3 linked regions of the Canis lupus familiaris genome follow. The protein of the gene in region 2 binds, or shares a complex with, the protein of the main gene of each other region. Links are inferred from orthologs where the notes say so. Each region holds a gene or a part of one and is shown on either strand. Other genes may lie near its edges.

Evidence for each region.
Region 1: the proteins of STX17 (region 2) and VAMP8 are in contact, whole or in part, in a crystal structure (PDB 7BV6), measured with the Homo sapiens proteins. The link is inferred for Canis lupus familiaris from reciprocal best matches to the Homo sapiens genes STX17 and VAMP8. Residues at the interface, in NP_060389.2 of Homo sapiens: Ser171, Trp172, Thr174, Leu175, Asp178, Leu179, Glu181, Leu182, Leu185, Val186, Phe189, Leu192, Val193, Gln196, Glu198, Lys199, Ile200, Ser202, Ile203, His206, Val207, Ser209, Ala210, Asn213, Val214, Glu216, Gly217, Thr218, Asn220, Leu221; in NP_003752.2 of Homo sapiens: Gly9, Val13, Leu16, Gln17, Val20, Glu21, Val23, Lys24, Met27, Thr28, Asn30, Val31, Ile34, Leu35, Arg37, Gly38, Leu41, Glu42, Leu44, Arg45, Thr48, Glu49, Leu51, Glu52, Ser55, Glu56, Phe58, Lys59, Ser62, Gln63.
Region 3: the proteins of STX17 (region 2) and SNAP29 are in contact, whole or in part, in a crystal structure (PDB 4WY4), measured with the Homo sapiens proteins. The link is inferred for Canis lupus familiaris from reciprocal best matches to the Homo sapiens genes STX17 and SNAP29. Residues at the interface, in NP_060389.2 of Homo sapiens: Glu170, Trp172, Glu173, Leu175, Glu176, Leu179, Ile180, Ser183, Val186, Thr187, Phe189, Ser190, Val193, Asn194, Gln196, Gln197, Ile200, Ile203, Ala204, Val207, Asn208, Ala210, Ala211, Val214, Glu215, Thr218, Leu221, Gly222, Ala224, Ala225; in NP_004773.1 of Homo sapiens: Arg52, Thr56, Ser59, Thr60, Arg62, Ser63, Leu66, Glu69, Ser70, Val73, Gly74, Ser77, Glu80, Leu81, Gln84, Val87, Leu88, Thr91, Met94, Val95, Lys97, Met98, Asp101, Leu102, Ile104, Ser105, His108, Ile109, Ser111, Ile112.

Annotation. Positions count from the first base shown.
Region 1 is NC_049238.1:39,844,694-39,852,288, reverse strand, and holds VAMP8 (vesicle-associated membrane protein 8), read left to right. Parts: upstream 1-2,742; 5' UTR 2,743-2,873; intron 2,874-3,381; 5' UTR 3,382-3,624; coding exon 3,625-3,627; intron 3,628-4,948; coding exon 4,949-5,107; intron 5,108-6,402; coding exon 6,403-6,546; 3' UTR 6,547-6,846; downstream 6,847-7,595. UniProt on the Homo sapiens protein: SNAREs, soluble N-ethylmaleimide-sensitive factor-attachment protein receptors, are essential proteins for fusion of cellular membranes.
Region 2 is NC_049232.1:57,220,987-57,228,442, reverse strand, and holds the start of STX17 (syntaxin-17), read right to left. Parts: upstream 5,076-7,456; 5' UTR 5,010-5,075; intron 1,204-5,009; exon of another isoform or gene 1,183-1,203; intron 1-1,182. UniProt on the Homo sapiens protein: SNAREs, soluble N-ethylmaleimide-sensitive factor-attachment protein receptors, are essential proteins for fusion of cellular membranes.
Region 3 is NC_049247.1:30,773,413-30,780,410, forward strand, and holds the end of SNAP29 (synaptosomal-associated protein 29), read right to left. Parts: intron 4,038-6,998; coding exon 3,880-4,037; 3' UTR 842-3,879; downstream 1-841. UniProt on the Homo sapiens protein: SNAREs, soluble N-ethylmaleimide-sensitive factor-attachment protein receptors, are essential proteins for fusion of cellular membranes.

The sequences.
Region 1 (7,595 bases), on a different chromosome or scaffold from region 2:
CCCCATTTATGCCATAAATAAGAAGACTAGCATCGAGGTCAATGCACTCTCAAAGTTTGCCTGGTTGCTTTGCAGGCTGTTAATATTCCTCTTCCACTATTGTCTAATCTTATTTTCTCTATCAGTCTCCTTTTTCACTTGTAAAGTGCTTTAGCAGGAATATAGAAATATATATCTGTATTATTTAACCCTAATAATAACCCTGCAAAGCAGCTTTCATTCTTCTTCCCATTTTGCAGATGAGAATACTGGTGCTCCTAGAGGGAAGTGGCCTGCCCAAGTCTATATAGCCAGGGAATAGTGGAGCTGATACCCAAATCTTCTGATCACACAGGCACTGAGAACACTCTTCATCACATCATGATTGCTTCTTTAGTACAACTCTTACCATCTAGCATTTTTCTTTGCAAAGTGACTGCTACTCCATTTCTCCTGGGATAGAGCCTTCCTTGACTGCAAAGGAATCGATGACTTATTTCTCTTCTCGTACCCTGCCCATAGTACCATTTCTTTCTTTCTTTCTTTCTTTCTTTCTTTCTTTCTTTCTTTCTTTCTTTCTTTCTTTCTTTCTTTCTTTCTTTCTTTTCTTTCTTTCAGATTGATTGATTGATTGGTTTATGATAGACATAGAGAGAGAGAGAGAGGCAGAGACACAGGAGGGAGAAGCAAGAAGCAGGCTCCATACTGGGAGCCTGACGCAGGACTCGATCCCGGGACTCCAGGATCGCGCTCTGGGCCAAAGGCAGATGCTAAACCACTGAGCCACTCAGGGATCCCCTCTTTCTTTTTTTTAAAGTAAGTTCTAGGCCAAACATGGCTTTAATTCACCACACCAAGATCAAGAGTTACATGCTCTTCTAACTGAGCCAGCCATGCACCCCCCATAGTACCATTTCTGCTCACAGTTCATTGTTTGGTACTTTACTGAATGTCTCATCTTCTGAGGGCATTAGCAAGGTGGTCTTTTGACAAAGGATAGAATTGTGATGTTCCTACAGGAGAGGCCAAGACTGCAGGGGCTCTGCATGGTGAAGAGGAGGGGGAGCACGTTGCAGTCCCAACTGTGGGTGCTGGAAAATCTCCCCAGTGGTTTCTGGGCCTAGGCCAAGGGTCAGCTCCCCCAGGGACACCAATGTATGTCCAAAGCTGCCAGCAGCATGCTAGAGCCTGGTCACTCCTCAAATCTTGTAACCCTGATTTCTTTCTTTCTTTTTTTTCTTTTCAAGATGTTATTTATTTATCCATGAGAAATACAGAGAGAGAGGCAGAAAAATAGGCAGAGGGAGAAGCAGACTTCCTGCAGGGAGCCCAATGTGGAACTTGATTCCAGAGCCCAGGATCACACCCTCAGCTGAGGGCAGACGCTCAACCGCTGAGCCACCCAGGCATTCCTGTAACCCTAATTTCTATTCTGGAAATCCTCCTCCATGTCTTTATGCTCTCCTCAGACATCCTACTTTGTTTCTTGGCACCTATCCTATGTCCCTACCCACCACTGCACTTAGCATCTGGAATCATTAATAATAGTAATCATAATAGCCACCATTTACTGAGGGTTGTTTCAGTGCCAGGCATAGATGGTGAGGTAACTGAGGTTTATAGATGTCACATCAGTCTGTCCAAGGTCACATGAATATTAATGCATAGATCAGTGTGTCTTATAATGGAAATATAATTTGAGCCACATTTGTAATTTTTAATTTTCTACTCATCAAATTAAAAGAAACAGGTGAAATGAGCATTAACAATTTTTAAAATTTAACTCAATAAATCCACAACATCATTTCAACATGTTATCAGTATCAGTTAAGTGTCTGCCTTCAGCTCAGGGCATGATCCTGGGGTCCTGGGATTGAGCCTGGATTGTGCTCCCGGCTTCTCCCTTTCCCTCTGCCCTTTCCCCTGCCTCATGCTCTTTCTCTCAAGTAAGTAAATTAAAAAAAAAAAAGTCTTTGAAATACTTGGGGTGCCTGGATGGCTCAGTGGGTTGAGCATCCCACTCTTGATTTCAGCTCAGATCACTGATCTCAGGGTTTTGAGACTGAGCCCAGTGCAGGGTTCCATACTCAGAGAGCAGTCTACTTGAGATTCTCTCTCCTTCTGCCTCTGCCCTTCCCCTCCTGATGTATGTGTGCCTGTGCTCTCTCTCTCAAATGAATAAATAGATAAATCTTTTAAAAAAAGAAATACTGTGTGTACTCTTACATCACTTCTCAATTCAGACTAGCCACAGTTTAAGTGCTCAGCAGCCATATATGGTCAGTGGCTATGGTAATGGACAGCATAAGTACAGATCAAGGATTCTGACCCATCTCCACTTGACCTCTTTATAGATTTTCTTTTTTTTTTTTTTTCTTCTTTATAGATTTTCTAAGGATGATGAGAAGTGAGACAGCCACATTCTCTGTGAAAGTAGGCTGGTACTGTCCATCAAATTTCAGATTTGCAAAATATAATAATCTTATTTAATTGGAGATAAGATTTCATTATAAAGTAGAATAAAGTATCTCAAAACAGAGGTCCAGAAATTGTCATTTCCTTTAACAAAATATGTGTTAGAGAAACTGACATTTCTCTCTTAGAACTAATAATACTAAAAAAAAAAAAAAAAAAAAAAGAACTAATAATACTTCTGGGATGGGACAGGAATGTTTGTTCTCTTTTGCCTGTCCCTGTTTTTGTTCTGTCTTGATAAATACCATCTGGGAAGACTAGATATTCTGTGGCCTGGAACCAGGTGGTGGAAAAATCCTTTGCCTGGGGCCCTTCTCTTGTCCATAGGGCAGGCCTCTGACCATTTCTGAGTAGGCTCACCAACCCCTCAAAGCGGCTTCTGAAGGAAATGTTGAACTCTGGAAGGGAAGAAGGGATTGGTAAGCCATCATTCCCTCGTCCCAACAGTGGACAGGTCTTCCTTTCAGAAACTGTGGCAGGCACACTGAGTGTGCTATCCTGTTATACGTCCCCACCATCCTCTGAGGTCAGCATTAGCACCTGCCAAAACCAGAGAGGTGAAGAATTTCACTCAGGGTCACACTAGTAATCCGGAGCTTTCTGACACCACAGCCTAGGATTACAGCACTCCAGACTTGGGGGGATTTTAATACTTTCTGTCCACCCCTGAACATGGGAACAGGGGTTGCTAGCAAGAAACTTTCATATCTGTGTTCTGTTTCCATGTGAACTACCCCTGGTGGTGTACTTAGAGTTGACTTCAGTGTTTAAGATTTGGAGTCAGATATTCAGGACATTAAAAAAAAGGGGGGGGGGCGGAGCCAGCTTCCCTATCTATATCAGGAGGTCCAGCCTCAGGAAACCTAGGAGGGCTGCTTGATCTTCTTTTTCTTTTTCTTTTTTTTTTTTCTGGTTCTGATGCGTTAGAAGATCTCTGGTGATCGAGCCCTGTTGCTTTAAGCCCGAGCCCAGGTTTGGGAGGAGACTGGGAGGGCAGCGGAGGGCGCCCGCCTACCTGCCGGCCCGCGCTAGGTGAGGCTGGAGCCGCTCGGGATGCCGGCGGGCGGGGGCAGGCTCGAAGTTGGAGCGAGCAGGAAGTGAAGCGAGGGCCGCCCGGGAGGAAACAGACGAGGGAGTCTCGCCGCCGCCAGGCCCGAGCCGCTTGGAGACATGGTGAGCGCGCTGGGAGCTCGCGAGGGGCTGAGCGAAAGGCGAGCGGGGGCTGGGGGCGGGGGGCTGGGGGCGGGGGTCGCAGGGCCGCTGGCCAAGTCGGAGGGCTGGCCCGGTGCAGCCGGTGGCCGCTCTCCTTTGACAACTTGGCTGCCCGGGCGGCTGCCCCCGCGCCTTCTCCCTCCCCTGCCCTCGGAGCTGGCCCGGAGCGGGGCTCCGGTGGGGGTGGAGGCTCCGAATTCCAGGCCGGGAGCCGCTGAGAGGCCCTTCCTGGCCTCCTCCGGCCCGCCGGGCGCCGAGCCCGGTGACCCCCCTTGGGCAGCGCCTCCGAAGTTCCCAGGGCGGATTCCAGCCCAGCGGCGGGAGCCCTCCCCGTCGGCCCTTCCCTTTATCCTGTCGAGAAACTCCAAGAATCCGTCTCTCTCTGCCCGGCCTAAGGAATCGGGCCCCTCTCTTTAAACACGGAGAAGAAGGCGAAGGGTTTGTAAAAGAACCAGAAGTTGGTTCTCTGTGACAATCCGTCTAGTTTGGACCGGCTCCTGGCCTGTTTCGGAGGTCTAGGGGGTCAGGGAGGGAGGAGCCTAGTAATGGTTTGCCCTCCCTGTTCAAAAACTTTATCAGCCAGGGAGGACTTGCCCTCCATTTCCCTCAACAGCCAGTCTGCTGTTTTTATTTAATATCTGCTTAAGGAGGCAGTGGCAGCTTGGTTGGTGCCGGCACATGGGGCAGTGTGTTGGGGGAAAGCAGAAGTTTATGGCGCAATGGCTCTCCCTCTTGGGGCCTGGCCAGGGCCTTGGAACCCGGTGGCTGTTGCTCTGGGTCACAGCAATTAGGCAGCTCCGGAGGTCTGGGGAAGTCTGGGGCGGGAGCAGCTCTCCAGCTGCTGTCCAGCAGTGAGGGGGGTGTTGTGGCAGCTGAGGGTGTTCTGCTGGCCAGCACAGATATTTTCAATGAGGATCCTTCGGTTAATAGTGGTGGGTTTCCCCCTTGTGAGATGCCAGCTCAGCAGTTCTCTGCCCCCATCTGAGGAGCAAGGCAACAGTGGAGTGGGATTTAGGGTCTGTGTTTCTTTTCCTCCTCAGGGGCCCTGAGAACCTGAAAAGAAACTGGATCTAGTCTGTCTAGCATCAGCACTCACCTTCTGGGGCTTAAAAGTGCATTTGTTTTTGATCACATGAGTAATACATGAAAACATTCTTTGTAAACAGTTCAAGCATTAAAAAAAAGCTAAAGTCCACCTTAGGCCTTCCCCTCCCCTGGCCTCTGAGGCTGAGTCTCAGTTCCTCCACCACTTCGCCTAATTAACCCCTGCGTTGCTGCCCAGGAGGAGGCCAGTGGAGGTGTTGGAAATGATCGTGTGCGGAACCTGCAGAGTGAGGTGGAGGGAGTCAAGAATATTATGACCCAGAATGTGGAGCGGATCTTGGCCCGAGGAGAAAACCTGGACCATCTCCGCAACAAGACAGAGGATCTGGAAGCCACAGTGAGATGGGGAACCCACAGAGGTTGGGAGCAGGGCGGCTGGGAGCTGGGCAGTAGAGGAAGAGAGGGAGGGTGAATTGCTGGGGCTCGGGGAATTGGTGGTGCTGGGGGCAAAATGAATAGGAGGGAAGTCTGCCTTTTCACTTGTTTTGGGAATTGACAAGTGAGCCCCCTGTTTTGATTCTGCTCTACTCCACTATTTGGTACTGGGGTCCAGGAAATGGCTCCAGTGACTGGGTGGGTGGGTGGGTGGGTGGGGCTGATTCTTGGAGGCCTTGTCTGAGACAGAAAGGTAGATGGCCCAGTCAGCCCTCACATTCTTAGGCTTCCCTCCCATGAAACTGATGTTTCCCTTTGAAGATTGCCCTTGACAATCATTTGGACCTGACCTCCCTAAGCCAAAAATATTGGCTCCGGAAAATACTCCTAGGGCCTTTGGCCTTCTTGAGGAGTCACTAGGCAGGGGGTGGAAAACTGCTAGAGTTTTGCTGAGTCTGCTTTAAAAAGAAGCTGGGAAGAGCAGTGAAATTCTTTGATCAGGGGGTCCTCTGCTAGCTGAAGGCTAGAATAATATCTCCCACACATCTTGCTAGACCTCATTCCTTTCTCTCTCCAGCCATGGGCTGAAGCCAGCTGCTCAGGGATGGAGTAACTCTAACAAAATACTCCAGCAAAGGTTGGGGCCTAAGGTTCTTTGTCCACAGGGAGAGACTGGCTGTGGCTTTCCAAGTCTTGTGCATAAGCTTGGGTCTAGTTTCCCTGGGACTTAGTGTTTCTTTCCGCAGCCTAATCTGAGGAGCATGGCCCAGGGAAAGTTAATTTCTACAATTCCAGTTGAGGAGGAAGAGCAGTTTCTCTTACCTCTGACGTCTGTACTGCCCTGGTCTGTCCTCTAGCCTCAGAGGTCCCCATAGGGCACGGAGTCAGAGTCCCAGGGAGATGTGCCCACTTGGAGCTTGCACCCGTTCGCCCCAGTGTGTGCTCTCCCAAGGGCGGATTGTGCAGACAGTGTTGCACTTCTGGGTGTGAGCATATGTAAAAGGCCCCTCAGTGTACATGACGGTGCATGGGTAAGAAGAGAGGAGGGGAGGCAAGAATTTAGAATTCTAAATTTGAATCTGGCCCATCAGATTGTCATGAAGGTATATTTGTCAGGGTAGGAGGACAGAACATTTTTTGTGTAACGGTCTGTTCCCTCAACTGTTCACTTCAACATTTACATGTATAGCATGTGGGCCTCTGTCTTCTTATTCTGGTGGGAGGAGGCACTGGTTCACTCTGCCTTGTCCTCAACAGTCGGAGCACTTCAAGACCACATCACAGAAGGTGGCTCGGAAGTTCTGGTGGAAGAACGTGAAGATGATTGTCCTCATCTGCGTGATTGTTTTTATCATCATCCTCTTCATCGTGCTTTTCGCCACCCATGCCATCCCCACATAGGGAGCCCCTCCCCCCACCCACCCTCTTCTTTAGGGCAACCCTCCATAGCAGGTGCCAAGAAGGGCCCTCTCTTCCATCCTTGTCTGCAGGAAGTGCTGCTGCGTCCTCCTGCCCCTCATTCTGAGGCCCCTCTGCCACACTGTCTGCCCCAGGCACCTTGGTCCCCCGGAAGGAGAGAGTTGGACTGTGGCTGTTTCATGGGCCCTCAGAGTTGGTTGGAGAGATATCCAGAAGGCCCAGCATGGGGCTAGGACACTGATGGTGGCCGGTGGGCAATAAAGACCTTTCAGTATCCCTTCACATGTGAGGTAATTTGTCCCCTTCCATTTTTGCCTTTGGTCCTTCTATTTCTATTCTCCCTGGGGACAGCTTCTGGCTGAGATTCTCCTATTTGAGGCCCCATTGTTGGAGGGGTAGAAAGTGTATGTTTGGAGAAGAAAGATGGAGTCTCCCCATTCTTCTCTATTTTCCATTCATTGTGACAGGTCTCAAGAACCAGAGTTTTCTGAGGGTTTCCACATATGGAAAATTCAAAACCATTTTAGGGTGGTACACAAGACTCCTAAGGGCTTGAGCCTTGCCATGTGCCTTTATTACTTTTCTACTAGAAGTGTTAGCCAAGACAGGCTGAGGACCTCCTTTCATCTCTTTTCTATGGCCCTGGTGCAGTCTAGAGCAAGGTGCTAGAGGAACTGGGCCACTTTTCCTTCTTTTTGGTTCTGCAAAGTTCTTTTGTTTATTTTTTTAATTTAAGTAATCTCTCTACCCAATATGGGGCTCGAACTCATGACCCTGAATTCAAGAGTCACATGCTCTTCTGACTGAGCCAGCCAGGCACCCCTGGTTCTCAAAGTTCTATTTGTCTTTTGTCTGCCCTTTTGGGACTTAGCAGGGCCTCCGGGTCTCAGCTGAGAGGGTGAGCATCTCTCACCATATCTTGTGGCTGGGCTCAGTCAGTGTCACAGGACAGGGCCTATGGCCCTCCTTCCCCTCCATGTACAATGGGCTTCTTTGTCTTCGGTCTTCCCTTCTCCCTGCCAGGTTCCACC
Region 2 (7,456 bases):
TTTACATTCCCTGTTTACATTCCTGTTTATATTCACTAGCAACATATCAAAATATCCAAATATCCATATTCCCACCAACACATAGTACTATATTCTCCTTAAACTTTCAAAAATGGTGTCTCATTGTTTTATTTTACATTCCTTAAATTACTGGTGGCATTGATTTATTAGCCATTTGCTTTCTTCTTACGAATTGCCTGCTGGTGCTATATCTATTTTACTACAGGGGATGTCTTTTTCTTATTATATTCAACATATAATAGACTCATAAATTACCGATTGTCTCACAATGTTCCCAGTTTATCACATTGCTTGTATTTTTTTTCTGTCATGCAGATTATATACTATATGAAGATACGTTTTTATCCACCACCATTCCTTTTTTTTTTTTTTTTTAACAATACTGGTTCTCAAAAGGTGCTGATGGAACTAAAATATTTCTTCACATGTCCCTTCTTCACTATTACTAATCCCATCACTCCAACAGTGCAATGCACAGCACCTTACAAGTGTCTTAATTGGCTTCCCTTTAAACTCTTTCCCCTCTCCAATTGTTCCTCACAGATTACCACCAATTAATATTTCTAGAACACCAATTGCAACGTTCTCCTCTGAACAAAAACTTCCAAGAATTCCCTATTATTTGAACAAGAAAATACAATGTTCAATCTAAGTATTATCACCCAATTTCTACTTTGGGCTTTGCTATGATGCTCCCTCTGTTTAGATGCCCTTTTATATCCCATCTGCCTCTAAAATTTATGTATCATTTTATATACAACTCTAATGATTCTCCTTTCTCCTCCACTAATCAGTTTATAGTATATGTAAAAAACCCCGATTATTGGATGTTTGACTTGACACTGTTTCCTTATGCTACAATGACAGATTTTTTCCAGTTCCAGAAGTGATATTTCTAGGTCAGAGTTACGCATGATTCTGCTCTTCAGCTTTCTATCCAAGGAAAACCAACCGCCTCATAAAGACCATCTATCAGGGAAGACATTCCACCCCAGGAACCTCCCAACATACATTTCCAATTCTTGTTCTCCTTTTGGCCGGTATTTTTTTTCTCTTCTCCATCATTTCCATTTTTTATAAATTACAACAAAATGTCTACAGAAACTAAAATGAGAACATATTGTTCAAATAATTGCTTAAGTCATGATGTTACTGGGATACCTGGGTGGCTCAGCGGTTTGGTGCCTGCCTTCAGCCCAGAGCGTGATCCTGGAGACCCAGGATCAAGTCCCACATCGGGCTCCCTGCATGGAGCCTGCTTCTCTGTCTCTCTCTCTCTGTATCTCTCATGAATAAATAAATCACATCTTTAAAAAAAAGTCATGATGTTACTGAAATGGAAAGTTGTCCAGCAGTGGCTCCAATCATAAAATAGCACAAATATGGTTTGTAAGTTGTTAAAGTATAATCCAACATTCAAGACATAGTTTCAAAATAAAATTGAAAAAATAAAAAATAAAATAAAATAAAATTGAACAACAAGTAAATGTATTTCACCATCTCGATTTTTCAAAAAACTGGAACATACTTCTGATAATTAAATGACAAAAATAAAAAAATACATTTACATTAACTTCACAACTGTGTAAAATATGCTTATGAAAAAGACAAAACATAGAAAAATGCCTAATTTTCCAAACTTTTGTAGAGTTGATTTCTTTGTAATATTTTTTTAAGTGTAATGAAATATTTGGGGTGATAGTTGTTTTATATCATGACAGTGGTGGTAGATACACAATTATATGCATTTGTCAAAACTCATGGAATTGCACATTACAAAGAATGAATTTTTGAAAATTAAAAAACAAAAAATGTGGAGGAACACAAAATGGAACACAAACCATAAGAAAGGAAACTATATTATCAATGAATAGCATAACCGCACTAAAAGTAGAGGAAGAAAATAACCTAAGTAACTCTGGAAAACACTATTCTAACTGGATACTACAAGGTTAAAGACCATAAGAACTATATACGATTCTACTATGTTCTAATTAGAAAATTTATTTTTTATAGGAATATGTGTTAGAAATCCTGAAAATCCTTTATGTGTATACCAGGACTGAAGAAATAAGAGAATATTTTGTAGAGCATGAAAATCAGATTTCTGTCAAAGAAAGAAGTAACAATTAAGAGGCATGGGTAGACTGAACCCTGTGGTTTAGGTTTACAAATGGAACTCTCAGAATGAATTTTTGTTTTTTTAAAAATATATATACTCAGATGTGAGTACATAGACACACTTAAATACAAAACAAATCTTTGTGTATCCATGAAATATGTGGATATATATGTATATAGCTAAGAAACATATATTTACAAATAAACATAACAAACGATATAAATAAAATATAATACTTAATTTTTCATAATTACATAAGTAATAAATAGAATGATATATTTTATTTATATATAAAGGAAAAATACTTATAAAAATAAAATATATATTTACATATAGTCCTAGCTGTTTTCTGCAAAGAACCACAAACAATAATATTCTAGTAGCAATGAGCACACCAAGTGCCCTGATCTTGGTGTTTAAATACCACTCTCCAAAAAAGGAAATCACGGATCCTTGGAGAAGTGGGTGATCCAGGACTGGGGCAGAGAAAACGCAAGATAAACGTGGAACATCTTATGGTGCTAGAAAGTAAGGAAGTTCTCAAAGAGAGATGGAAGCCTGTCAAAAGGAAGCAACCTGAAAAAACTCCCAAGGGCCAAGGCTGGAACAACCTGAGACATAAATAAATAACAAAAATAACCAAAAAGTAAAATAAATGAGTTCATACTTATATAAAAAAATAACTGACTAAACAAATGGAAAGGGGCAAGCCTTCCTTACAGAACTCCAATTAATAAAAGAAGGAATGGGGACGCCTGGGTGGCTCAGCGGTTGAGTGCCTGCCTTTGGCTCAGGGTGTGATCCCGGGATCTGGGATCGAGTCCCACATCAGGCTCCCTGCCTGGGGCCTGCTTCTCCCTCTGCCTGTGTCTCTGCTTCTCTCTTTCTGTGTCTCTCGTTAATAAATAAATAAAATCTTAAATAAAAAAATAAAAGAAGGAATGAGGGGAAACAAAAAATCACCATTAGAACATAATAGTAATCATTGCTGAAGGCAAGATCCACCAATGGATGGTAAAATCAGCAACTGAAAGTTTGAGGAGAACAACATATTTGCATAGTTTAGAAACTCAAGATATCCATTCATTTCAAGGGGAAAGCAGTTAATTTACATTAGAGAATCCTGGCAGACACCTCAACCAAGTGATCAACAGTAATACCAAAAGCAGTGTGTCATAACATGAACCCTTCGTGGGATGGACTGAGAAGGGTACATCCACTTCTGTGGTATCAACAAAAATGCATAACTTTAAAAATGCCTAACTTTAATTGTAAGAAAATACCAGACAAGGGGCAGCCCGGGGGGCTCAGTGGTTTAGCGCCGCCTTCAGCCCAGGGCCTGATCCTGGAGACCCGGAATCGAGTCCCACGTTGGGCTCCCTGCATGGAGCCTGCTTCTCCCTCTGCCTGTCTCTCTCTCTCTCCCTGTATGTCTCATGAATAAGTAAATAAAATCTTAAAAGAAAAAGAAAATACCAGACAAAACATAACTGAGGGACACTCTGCTAAATAATTAACCAGGATTCTTCAAAAGCGTTAAGGTTAGGAAAGACTTAAGACTAAAGAGCCATGCCAATTAAATGCAATGTGGGATGTTATACTGGATCCTGAAATAGGGGGGAAAAAAGGACATTAGTATAAAAAAGTCAGGAAATCCGAGAAAAAGGTAGCAATTTGGTCACTAGAATTGTACCAACGAGGGGCGCCTGGGTGGCTCAGAGTCTGCCTTTGACTCAGGTTGTGGTCCTGGTGTCCTGGGATCAAATCCGGCGGGAGCCTTGCTATTTCCCTCTGCCTATGTCTGTGTGTCTCTCATGAATAAATAAAATCTTAAAACAAAAAAACGTACCAATGATACTTTATAATTTTTTATGACTGTACTTATGGTTATATAAGGTGTTAACATTAAAGGGGGCTGCAGAGACCTTTGTTACTTTTGCCACCTCTCTGTAACTGGAAAATCATTTCAAGAATAAAAAGACTCTCTAGGAAGGTCTGATGTTTCACCGGAAACGGGTCACTTAGACTAACACTGGCGGGGGCCTGCGGGGCAGGTGCTCTACAAACGACCCTGACCCTTTTCGGGGCTTACGACTACTATCATCACCTGGGTACCATGACTACTCCTGTTTCCCGTGAGAAAAAAGTACTGGGGGGGGGGGGGGGGTTACTACATGATTTAGACTATTTACTGTATAAGTTAAAAAGCCCCATTTCTCAGAAAAAGTCCCCAAGTGCCAGCGACCTTCGGCGTCCCCCAGAGCGACGAGCGGCCGCCTCCCAGGGCAGGGATCCACACGGGCCCCAGGCAGGCCTCCCCGAGCTCCTGACCCGGGGACTCTGGAAGGCAAGGTCACGGCCCCTGCTGCTCCCTGGGTCTCCCGCCTGAGCCCTCCCAGGCCGGGCTTATCGAGGGCGCAGCTGCGGGAGCTTCCAGAAGCACCGGCTCCGGCTCCGGGTCCGGGTCCTCCGCCCCTCGCGGGCCCCCGAGCCCCACGGCGCCCCCCCCCACCCCCGCCGCCCCAACCAGAGAACGGATGCGCGGGCGGCCTGGGACCACGCCCCCGGGCGACCCGGGCGACCCCGACGGCCCCGGGCCCAGCCTGCGCCGCGGGCACGGCAGCTGCAGGGAACTTTCGCACCCCGCGACCCCGGGAGGCCGCCTCCCCACACCGGCTTCGCAAAGAGCTTCCAGAAACGAAACCGGCGCTTCGGGGAGCCGGGAGGAGCCTCCCAAGCGCGGGCACGCGGGACCTGAGGCCGGGCTTCCCCAGGGGGCGCCTCTGCGGCGCGCGGGCTCAGCGCCCGGCCCTCAAAGCCCGTCCGGGCCTGACGCCCCCGAGGCGGCCTCCCGCAAACCCCTTACCTCCCGCCGGGGCGCTCGAGGCCGCTGGCTGTGCACGGCGCAAGCGCGGGCGCGGCGGGGCGGGGCGTCGCCAGGGGGCGGGGCGTCGCGAGGGGCGGGGCGGTCCCGGGCCACGCCCCCTCCCGGCCCGCAGGAGCCCTGCCGGGTGGGGCCGCCGACGCCGTGACGGCTGCCGGCCGCGGGGAGGATTGAAGAAAGTGGGCTTGGCGTCTGTTTGCGGGGTTGCAGCCCTGGAGCCAGGAGGAAAGAGACCTACAATCACCTCTTAGGTCTGCTTGTTGTCTTTTCAGTAGGACGTAATTCACACACGCATAGCTTTCTACATTTTTGCAAAGTTTGCTGTCTGTTTTCCTGTTTACTTTTTTTTATTTTTTAAGATTTTATTTATTTATTCATGAGAGACACAGAGACAAAAGGAGGCAGAGACACAGGCAGAGGGAGAAGCAGGCTCCATGCAGGGAGCCCGACGTGGGACTCGATCCCGGGTCTCCAGGATCAGGCCCTGGGCTGAAGGCGGTGGTAAACCACTGAGCCACCCGGGCTGCCCTGTTTTCCTGTTTAAACAGGAATTTTATGGGCAGGCTGGCCGTGCATTCTGAGCTTTTTACACATGCAGAAACTGAAACTCCGAAAGGTTGTGCCTTCTCTCATTCACCACCGCACCCCCCCCCCCCCCCCAAACCTCGTGAGATGGACAGGACGCAAATCTTAACAACTGGTAACAGGTGCAGAAATTGAAGCTCGGATGAGTTGTGATTTTCCTTCCCATCAAAGCCGGGGGAGACCATGCTACTGTCCTTATCCCAATTTTATAGATCATGACGCTGAGGTTAAACAAAGAGTTTTAAGTGACTCACTCAGTTCAGCTACTTAGTGACAGAGCTGGGAACTCCACTGGGTTTCCTAATTTCCCTCTCAAGCTCTTCCAGTTACCAGCTGCTACCAATGACCAAGCAGATGGTTGGCTTTGAAGCTCTGTCCGGGTCCCATGACCTAACTTCCAGACCCAGCCTTTCTTAAGTGTTTGTGAATGTTCAGATGACCTGTCTAGAATGTGACCCCTGACAATATTATCCTCAGACAGTCATCAGGATGTTCAGGCCACAGCTCAGGAAACTCAGGTCTTAAGGTTTCCCAAGTGAGTGGGAGAAGAGGTGGAGATTATAGACAAAATTAGGGGCCTCTGAGAAAGCCTTGATAGGCAATTTCTAACCTAAAGAAAAACAAAACAAATCTAAGCAACTTGGAGATTCTTTGTGGGTGTAATGAAGGTTGTTCTGTTTGTTTGTTTTATTCTGGGAATAAAAGGATTTGGAATTTTGAATTTTAATAAGAGAAATTAATTAAAGTATTAAGCCATGCCATGGGAAAATGTTTTCCATGCAAGGGTCACTTAAGCAAGATCTTTTGAAATGAAGGTCATTCAAAATAAGTTCTAAAAACCTGCCTCAACCACTGTAGGGAGACGTGGCACTCAAGGACTCTAAATTTGAACCTAGCCTTCTGGACTGTTATATGTATGTTTGCTATAACTGAGGTGTGTCAAGGTAGCAGGATAAAGCTTTTTAATCTAAGAGTTTGTTAGCTTGATTTATAATCTCTAAATATTTAAACATACAGTGTGTGGAACTCTTTGTGTTCATGCCTGGGAGCCCTGAAGTTGTCAGGGCAGGCCTACTGCTACCAGCCAACATTTTCCCCAAGTCCTAACTGACACAGGAAAGAAAAACAAAATAAAACAGTAAATATATATACATTTATATGAAAGAAAAAGGTAAAAAAAATCTTTTGAGATATTAGAATTGCTTACTTGGAACATCCACAGGAATGAATTGAATTGAAACAAAGCTTAATAAGGTAGCTAGAGAAATAGCTTTCCTAAATTTCCAATTTTAAAATGTAGCAGGAGAAAAGACCACATTCAAAAATAGTAGAATCAAGTTTGTGTTTATAAGGAATTACAGGACCTATTTGAAGAATTAAGAATAATACCTCTATGGGGTGAGGGCAGAGGGAAGGATTATAAAGGGGCATGTGGAAACTTTGGGGGTGATAGATATATTCATTATCTTTATTGTGGTACTAGTTGCTTGGGTTTATACATATATCAAATTGTACATATTACCAAATTGTACACTTATTTTTAATACATTTTTTACAAGATTTATTTGAAAGAAAGAGTGCTCACACAAGCAGGGGAGGAACAGAGGGAGAGGGAGAGAATCTCAGGACTCCCTGCTGAGTGTGGAGCTCAATCCCATGACTCTGAGATCAAAACCTGAGCTGAAACCAAGAGTTGGTCACTTAACCAACTGAGTCACCCAGGAGCCCCCAAATTATACACTTTAAATCACAGTATATGCGTTGATTGAATCAGTCATATCTGAATAAAGCTGTTTCTTGAGAAAACATATATATTATTATTTGCTTAGAACCTAGCACAGTTC
Region 3 (6,998 bases), on a different chromosome or scaffold from region 2:
CAGGCTAGGCTCCATGCAGGAATCCTGATGTAGGACTTGATCCCGGGAGTCCAGGATCATGCCCTGGGTCAAAGGCAGGTGCTAAATCGCTGAGCCACCCAGGGATCCCTCCGTGCCTTTTTAGAGCTTTCAGATCTAGAAACAATTTCTACTCCTGTGGTCAGATGTGAAGGCAGAGGCAAGACAGTGGAGCCAAGGTTAGGCTAGCCTGTTCTCCTTTCTTGGTGAACTATGATGTTTAGAAGGGCCAGAAGCCTGAGGAGATCCACTTGCAGAATATAGTGGCCAGCCATCCTTCATCCTCCCGCCCCTAGGAATACCTTGTGGTAGTTTAAATGGGATGGCCAACTATTAAGGCCCATGGGTCAAGTGCAGTCCACCATGTTTTGTACTTCCCATGAGCTAAGTGGTTTTTGTATTTTTAAGTGATTGAAAAAAAAAATTATCAGATTTTTGTGACATGTGAAAATATATAAAATTTAAATTTCAGTGTCCATAAATAAAGCTTTATTAGAACACACCATTCTCATTTATATATTGCCTTTGGCTGCTTTTTTGCTACGATGGAGGAGCTGAGTAGTTGCGACAGATTGGCCCATGAGCCTAACATTTACTCTTTGGCCCTTTATTGTTTGCTGAGCCCTTATCGAGACAGTGCTGCACTGTGGTCAGGGAGATAGGAGACAGATTGGAAGAGCACTCTGAAAGATGAAATGAGAGGGCTTCGAGAAGGAAGCTTATTCATAGGGTTTGATGGGGCAATGAGGACCAAATATACGAAGACTCAACATGGAGGAGCCCTTCCATCCACTCTTTGAAAATGACTACACAGGAGACAGAATTTGATTTAAAAAACTTCACATTTTATTTTACAGAATATGGTCACTTGTTGAGTTGAAGGCATGGAGCTTAAGAGCTATTCTGATACAGACTCTGAACAAAATGCCCCCCTGCCGCTCCGAGCACTTTTGATGACTGGCTCATCATTCTGTACACAAGACATTTCATTATCAGAGCTGAAGATGCTAACAATGGTGATAACTTACAAATTCTGAGAAAAGGCCTATATAGGCAAAGTGTAAGAGTTTTTTTTTTTTTTACTAAATTGGTGTAGTGCACCCTTAAAATTACATATTCACAAACAGAAGTTAGAGAAAGATAAATTAAAATACACTTAAGAATTTTTTTCTTGCCACCTGAGTTAAATTCAGGGCTCCTTTCCTTCAGAATGCAAAAAAGACAATGTTAACTCCAGATCACTAGATGTGAGAATGTTTCCTCTGAAAGAGAATGCACTTATTTTTAAGTTAGTAGCACGCTTCACATAAAACCAACCTAAAGTTAGAAAAGCCACTTTTTGAAGGCACAGTTTGTTTCCAGCTCAACTGTGGAAATAAAAGCCTGTCTTATAGACCCCATCTGGCAAGAAGGGTGAATTCACTCCAGCCCACGCATCTCTGAGTGTCTCCATGAGACAGATGTGTCTAGTCTAGAGGATAGAATGTTTTTTGATCATAATCATCATGTGCAAAGATTCTGGAAGCTCCGGGTTTCTCTTTGTTCTCTGAAAATGCAAGCAACTTTGCTTTATAAGGTAGAATCAACCACTGGTCCTTCATGAGCCGGAGGGCAAGGGGGAAGACCCAGCAGAAAGGAGCTCCCAGTGCGTAGCTTGGAGACAGTTCCCTGGTCAGGGCCTTAGTGTAAGAGGGTCTAAACAAGAGTTAATATACACATGTAAAGTGTCAGAAGACACATTTCTAGAAAAGTGGCTGTGCTTTCCTTCTATATGCTTGGAGAGGGGAGAAAAAACGGGGCAACTGGCTTCAATGTTCTAACAAAAGACAGGGAAAGGGTATAATATTCCACGCCACTTTCCTTCAAGTCAGTGAAATCACTAATCTCATTACGCAAATGGAAGGCTGGGGAAAAGAATATTTGGCAGTGGCCTTTACATGTATAATTTGTTTGAAAAAAAAATAAGCTTGCATCTGAGGTATAATGACTAATCTCCATGAGTCTCTCTGCCTGATGATGACGAACAGAAACAGCCATCATGACATACGTGGAAGGTGTTAGAAAAAAAAAAAAGAAACAATTAGGAGTGGAAATGTACACACAGGCTGCTCTGCATTCTGGCTTCATGCTTGTCAGCAGCCTTTTTTGCTAAAAGCCCTCCGAACTCATTTTGTTTGGGCTAGGTAGGTGTTTAAAACTTTTCCTTTTACCATTTATCAAGAGAATAATCACGATGAGCTCATCTGATAAATGCCTAATTTGACTACCTCTAATCGTATTCTCACATACTGGGATATTCATAATGACGTTGATCAGATTCCATGAGTTGGCTGGAACATGACAGAAGGTTGTATCTACTGACGGAAGCTGTCAAGTGTTTTTAGGAATGCCATGCAGCATGGAATGGAACTACTACAAATGAATTGCTACAAAAATATGGATGCACTGTTGCAGCACTGCAGAGATTTCTTTTCCTTCAGGGGGCTTTCTTTATAGGCTACAGAACCAAAGTGGTGAAGGTCCCATAGACAGCACCATGTGTTGAGGTGAAACACACTTGTTTTAAATTTTCTGACCTAGCCTATTTTATTAAAATCAGCGCCTTTTACGGTCTTCAAAATATTTCAATTAATTTGCTTTTTTAAAAAGACAAGGGTCTTGCGGCTTCAATTACTCTGCTGGAGGTACCAACACAAAGGCGCTAATCTCGTTACAGAAATCAATTTTAATGAATGTCACTTTACAAAGAAAGAATCACTTAAAAGCATTAATTAAAATTGATTTCTGTAATGAGATTAATGTTTTTGTGTAGAACAAGCTAGGCTAGTTAAAATGATAATGTCTAGGCTTTTATTTTTAAAGCTAAGTTGTTCTAGACAAGTCTGCATCATTTGTGGCACTCCAGTCCTCCAACTGGGTGGCGGAGAACCAAGAGCTGAGTCAAGTCATGTTGCAAGAGGTCAAGAGGAATGGGTGGGAATCCTAAATGGGCCAGGAGACCCCAGGCGTTGAATAAACACTGCCATCCCCGAGGCTGGGTCAGGTGCTCTGGGGAGGAGCACACAGGGTAAGCACTGTATGATGCTCCATTCTCACAAACTGTAGAGGGCCCCCAACTGGCCAGCTGGGCAGCCTTGAGACAATGGTGCATCTGTCCCTAACCTCAGTCAGTGACTTAGAGGTGAGAGTGCACAGGGAAGCAGGGCTCACCCAATTCCCTGTGCATCTCCAGGCATCACGGTGAGTGGTGCTGATCTGAACCCTTTCTACTAAAATGCATGCCAAGGATGGAGGCCAGGAGGGAAGAGGTGACATCTGTCAACCAAATAGCAAACGCTGGCACTTTCCATTTCTGAACATTGATCCTTTTCTGGGGTTTGAGAGAATCGCAATGTGCTCAGTGTATGTGTGTATGTGTGTTGGGGTGGGGGTGGGAGAATGGTGACTGGTAAGCCAAGATGTGGGAAGGACCACCCTCACAACACCACCACAGAGATTGGTGGTTCCAGGATTGAAATTCTGCCCATGTCTTTCCATATGCTCGTTAAAGTGAGAAATGCAACTGTTCTTCTGGTGTCAGCAAGGTCATCGAAGGCCCAAAATACTCAGGGCCAGGCTGTCGTGCTCAGATTAAGACTCTAAGCATTCAGTTCAGACAATGGAGAGGTGAGAGCTCTAAAAAAAGTAGGATACACATTTCTCATCATGACATCTCCAAGGACTCAACTCGCTCTATAATTATAACATTTGCAAACACATATTACGTTACACACTAAAACAACAGAAATTAAATTTTGGGAAGTTTAACAGGAGATTTTTTGGCTCGTTTCATCACAATGGGGTGGAGAGCCTTCTCGGTGTTTAAAGTTGCCTAACTTTTCTTTCTGTGCTTTTTATATTGACATCTAACTTGTCCACTTTGGTTGTGAGGCGGTCAAGAATGTCATCTTGCTCCTCAATTTCTGTCTGCATCCCCAGGGCTATGTCCTTCAGCCGGCCTAGTCCCACGGACAGCTCATCTGTGGGAGAGGGAAAGGACATACAGGGCTGAGTGAAGTCACAGCAGCAGGGGCCTCTGCTTGTTCCGTGCCCGGTGCTCTGCAACATGCACATCACTGAGTGCTCTTTCTCAAAAGACAAGGAGAACTCTAGGGCTTTGGTTACATTTTCCAAAATTCATGCAAGTAAAAAGCAAACCAGCTGACTCCACATAAAGTAATATGTGCTTAATGTAAAAGCCACTTTTCCCCTAGATGTCTGCTCAGGATCATCACTATTCATACAATGATGTTTGTCCTTCTAGTGCTTTAAAAAATACATACAGATCTACATCATGTTTTGGGTGCCTCTGAACGTTCTAATAGGTGGAGGCACATTGCAAGATCAGTTAGTACCTGAGAAAGAGAGAAGTACGTAGAGGCTTAGAAAACACTCCCTTCCCAGACCCCATAGTGAGTATCTGGAAGAAGTATGCAGGTAACCAACAGCCAGACCTGCTGCCGTGCTCTTCAGGAGCAAAAACCTCATGTCAGTGGGTAGAACTCAACAGTGCCCGGTTTTCTTCCTTCCATCTCCAGCCCCCTAAAGCTGGATCAAGCACAGATTCAGAGTAACAAGTATGAGAATACCTATTTGGAAACACATCTGGGAGACAGACCTGGAAGCCCCTGCACCTGGTTGCTCCTGCTCCAGGCTCCCACCTTGGAGAAGGCCACATCCCACCCCCTCTTCCACTCTGCAGGTGGCATGAGAAATAGGTGCTTTGTCCCTACCTTGCCACCTGGGGCGCTCTCCCAGAAAATACATGAACTACAGATGGTTCCACTCCATCCAAATGCTATGAGGTCCTGTCACCTATGTTATGATAATTCACATTTTCCTACATCAATTCATTCATTGCTACCACTTCTCAGATCCATGCACACATCAATGCTGCGAATGTCCTGGGGTATGACACAACCTGAATCTGGCTGGCACCATTTCCTTTGCCCACTTGGTGGCTAGCTGGGTACGGAGATGTCTGTAGTCCAGGGTCCCCATGTCAAAAGGAACTAAGGGCTAAAGGTGCTGGGTCCCTTTAGTAATGCCCTCTGGGGCAAGCCCCAGGGGACAGTGGGGCACAGACTTTTGGCAAAGTTTCAGCCCTAGCGATAGGTTACATCATTCCTGCTGATATTCAAGTTCAAACATGAGGGGTGAGAGTTCCACTTCCGTGCAGGACAAGTGCGGGCTGGGGAGAAACCCAGGTCAGTCCCACTGGGTCTGAGTTAAAAATCCGGGCGGGCCCTCTTCTGATCCGTGCTCCCAGATCACAGCTGAGGGAGACTGCCTTTGAAAGGAAGGCCACTGGGGAGCAGCCCTGCCACAACTAGCCACTCTGGTGCCAGGTCCCTTCTGAGCTCATTCTAGTTCCCTCGGTTGGCTTTCCCACTCTTTGTAATAAGTATTTTCCCTTTGTTTCAAAAAGTGTTAAAAGTCAATGATCACATCCATTTTTTTTTTTTGATCACATCCATTTTTTAAGAGGAATAACACCTGTAAGGACATGATTGGTCTTAGAGTATGTGGAGGGAGTACCAAGCAGAGGTGACATAAAGAGAACCAGAGTCAATGGAGGGAAGAGACATGCTGCAGGCACTCTGGGGTCCCCTCATTGGGCTGAGCCAACTGCAGAGGTGAGTCTTGACTTAACTGATTCGGTCAGTTCTCAGGCTTCATGACAGTGCGTGCGCGTGCACGTGTGTGTATGTGTACCTATGTATGTACTTGTACGCAGTGGGAGTGGGGTGCATGCCCACAGCTGCCTTCTGCCCTTTTACTAGGTGCAGTAGGCCAAGAAAAAGCCAGAGGGAAGAGAGAAGGGGAGGTGCTTCATAAACCTTGTGAATTAAAGATAAAACATTAAGAAAGGTCAGAATACACAAATACTTGGCACTAACACCACAAATGTAAGCAGAATCTGTTTTTTAAAAATTGTCTTCAGCTCTATGCTTCTTGAATTTATTAAAACCCCTAACCTTGCGTTCCATGGAGAGTAAAATCTGTGAGGTCATCCCAGGCCTCAGGGAGTGTGCTGGCACTTGGGACAGCAAAGGACAAGCTATAGGTATACGGAGATTTACTTATTTATTAATTCATTATTTATTTTTTTATTTTACAGATTTTATTTATTCATAGAGAGAGAGGGGGTGGGGGGCAGAGACACAGGCAGAGGGAGAAGCAGGCTCCATACAGGAAGCCCAACGTGGAACTCGATCCCGGGTCTCCAGGATCACACCCCAGGCTGCAGGCGGCGCTAAACTGCTGCGCTACTGGGGCTGCCCTACTTATTTGTTTTTTTAAAGATTTTATTTATTTATTCATGAGAGACACACAGAGATAGAGAGAGAGAGAGAGAGAGAGATAGAGAGAGAGAGGGAGAGGCAGAGACACAGGCAAAGGGAGAAGCAGGCTCCATGCAGGCAGCTCGATGTGGGACTCGATCCCGGGACTCTGGGATCATGTCCTGAGCCAAAGGCAGATACTCAACCACTAAGCCACCCAGGTGTCCGGATATACTGAGATTAAAAAAAAATAAAATAAAAAGTGTGATGGGCACCGAGGTGGCTCAGTTGCCTAAGTGTCTGCCTTCGGCTCAGGTCATGATCCCAGGGTCCTGGAATCCAGCCCCACATCAGATTCCCTGCTCAGTGGGGAGTCTGCTTCTCCTTCTCCCTCTGCCCCTCCCTCTACTCATGTGCTCTCCCTCAAGTAGATCCTTAAAGAAAAAAAAAGGTTTGATAAAGTAAAGCTACCAGACAGGGGAGCCTTGCACTAGTCCCTCAGATAAAAGCAGGGGCTGGTAAGAAGGAAGGAGCAGACCTGTGAAGGGCAGCCAGGCACAGCCCGTGTCAGCGGGCCCAATGGCCCCAGAGTGCCACCTCAGCCCTTCTTAGCATGCCACACTGCATCCTGCTGGGACCTGCCTGCCCGAACTGTAA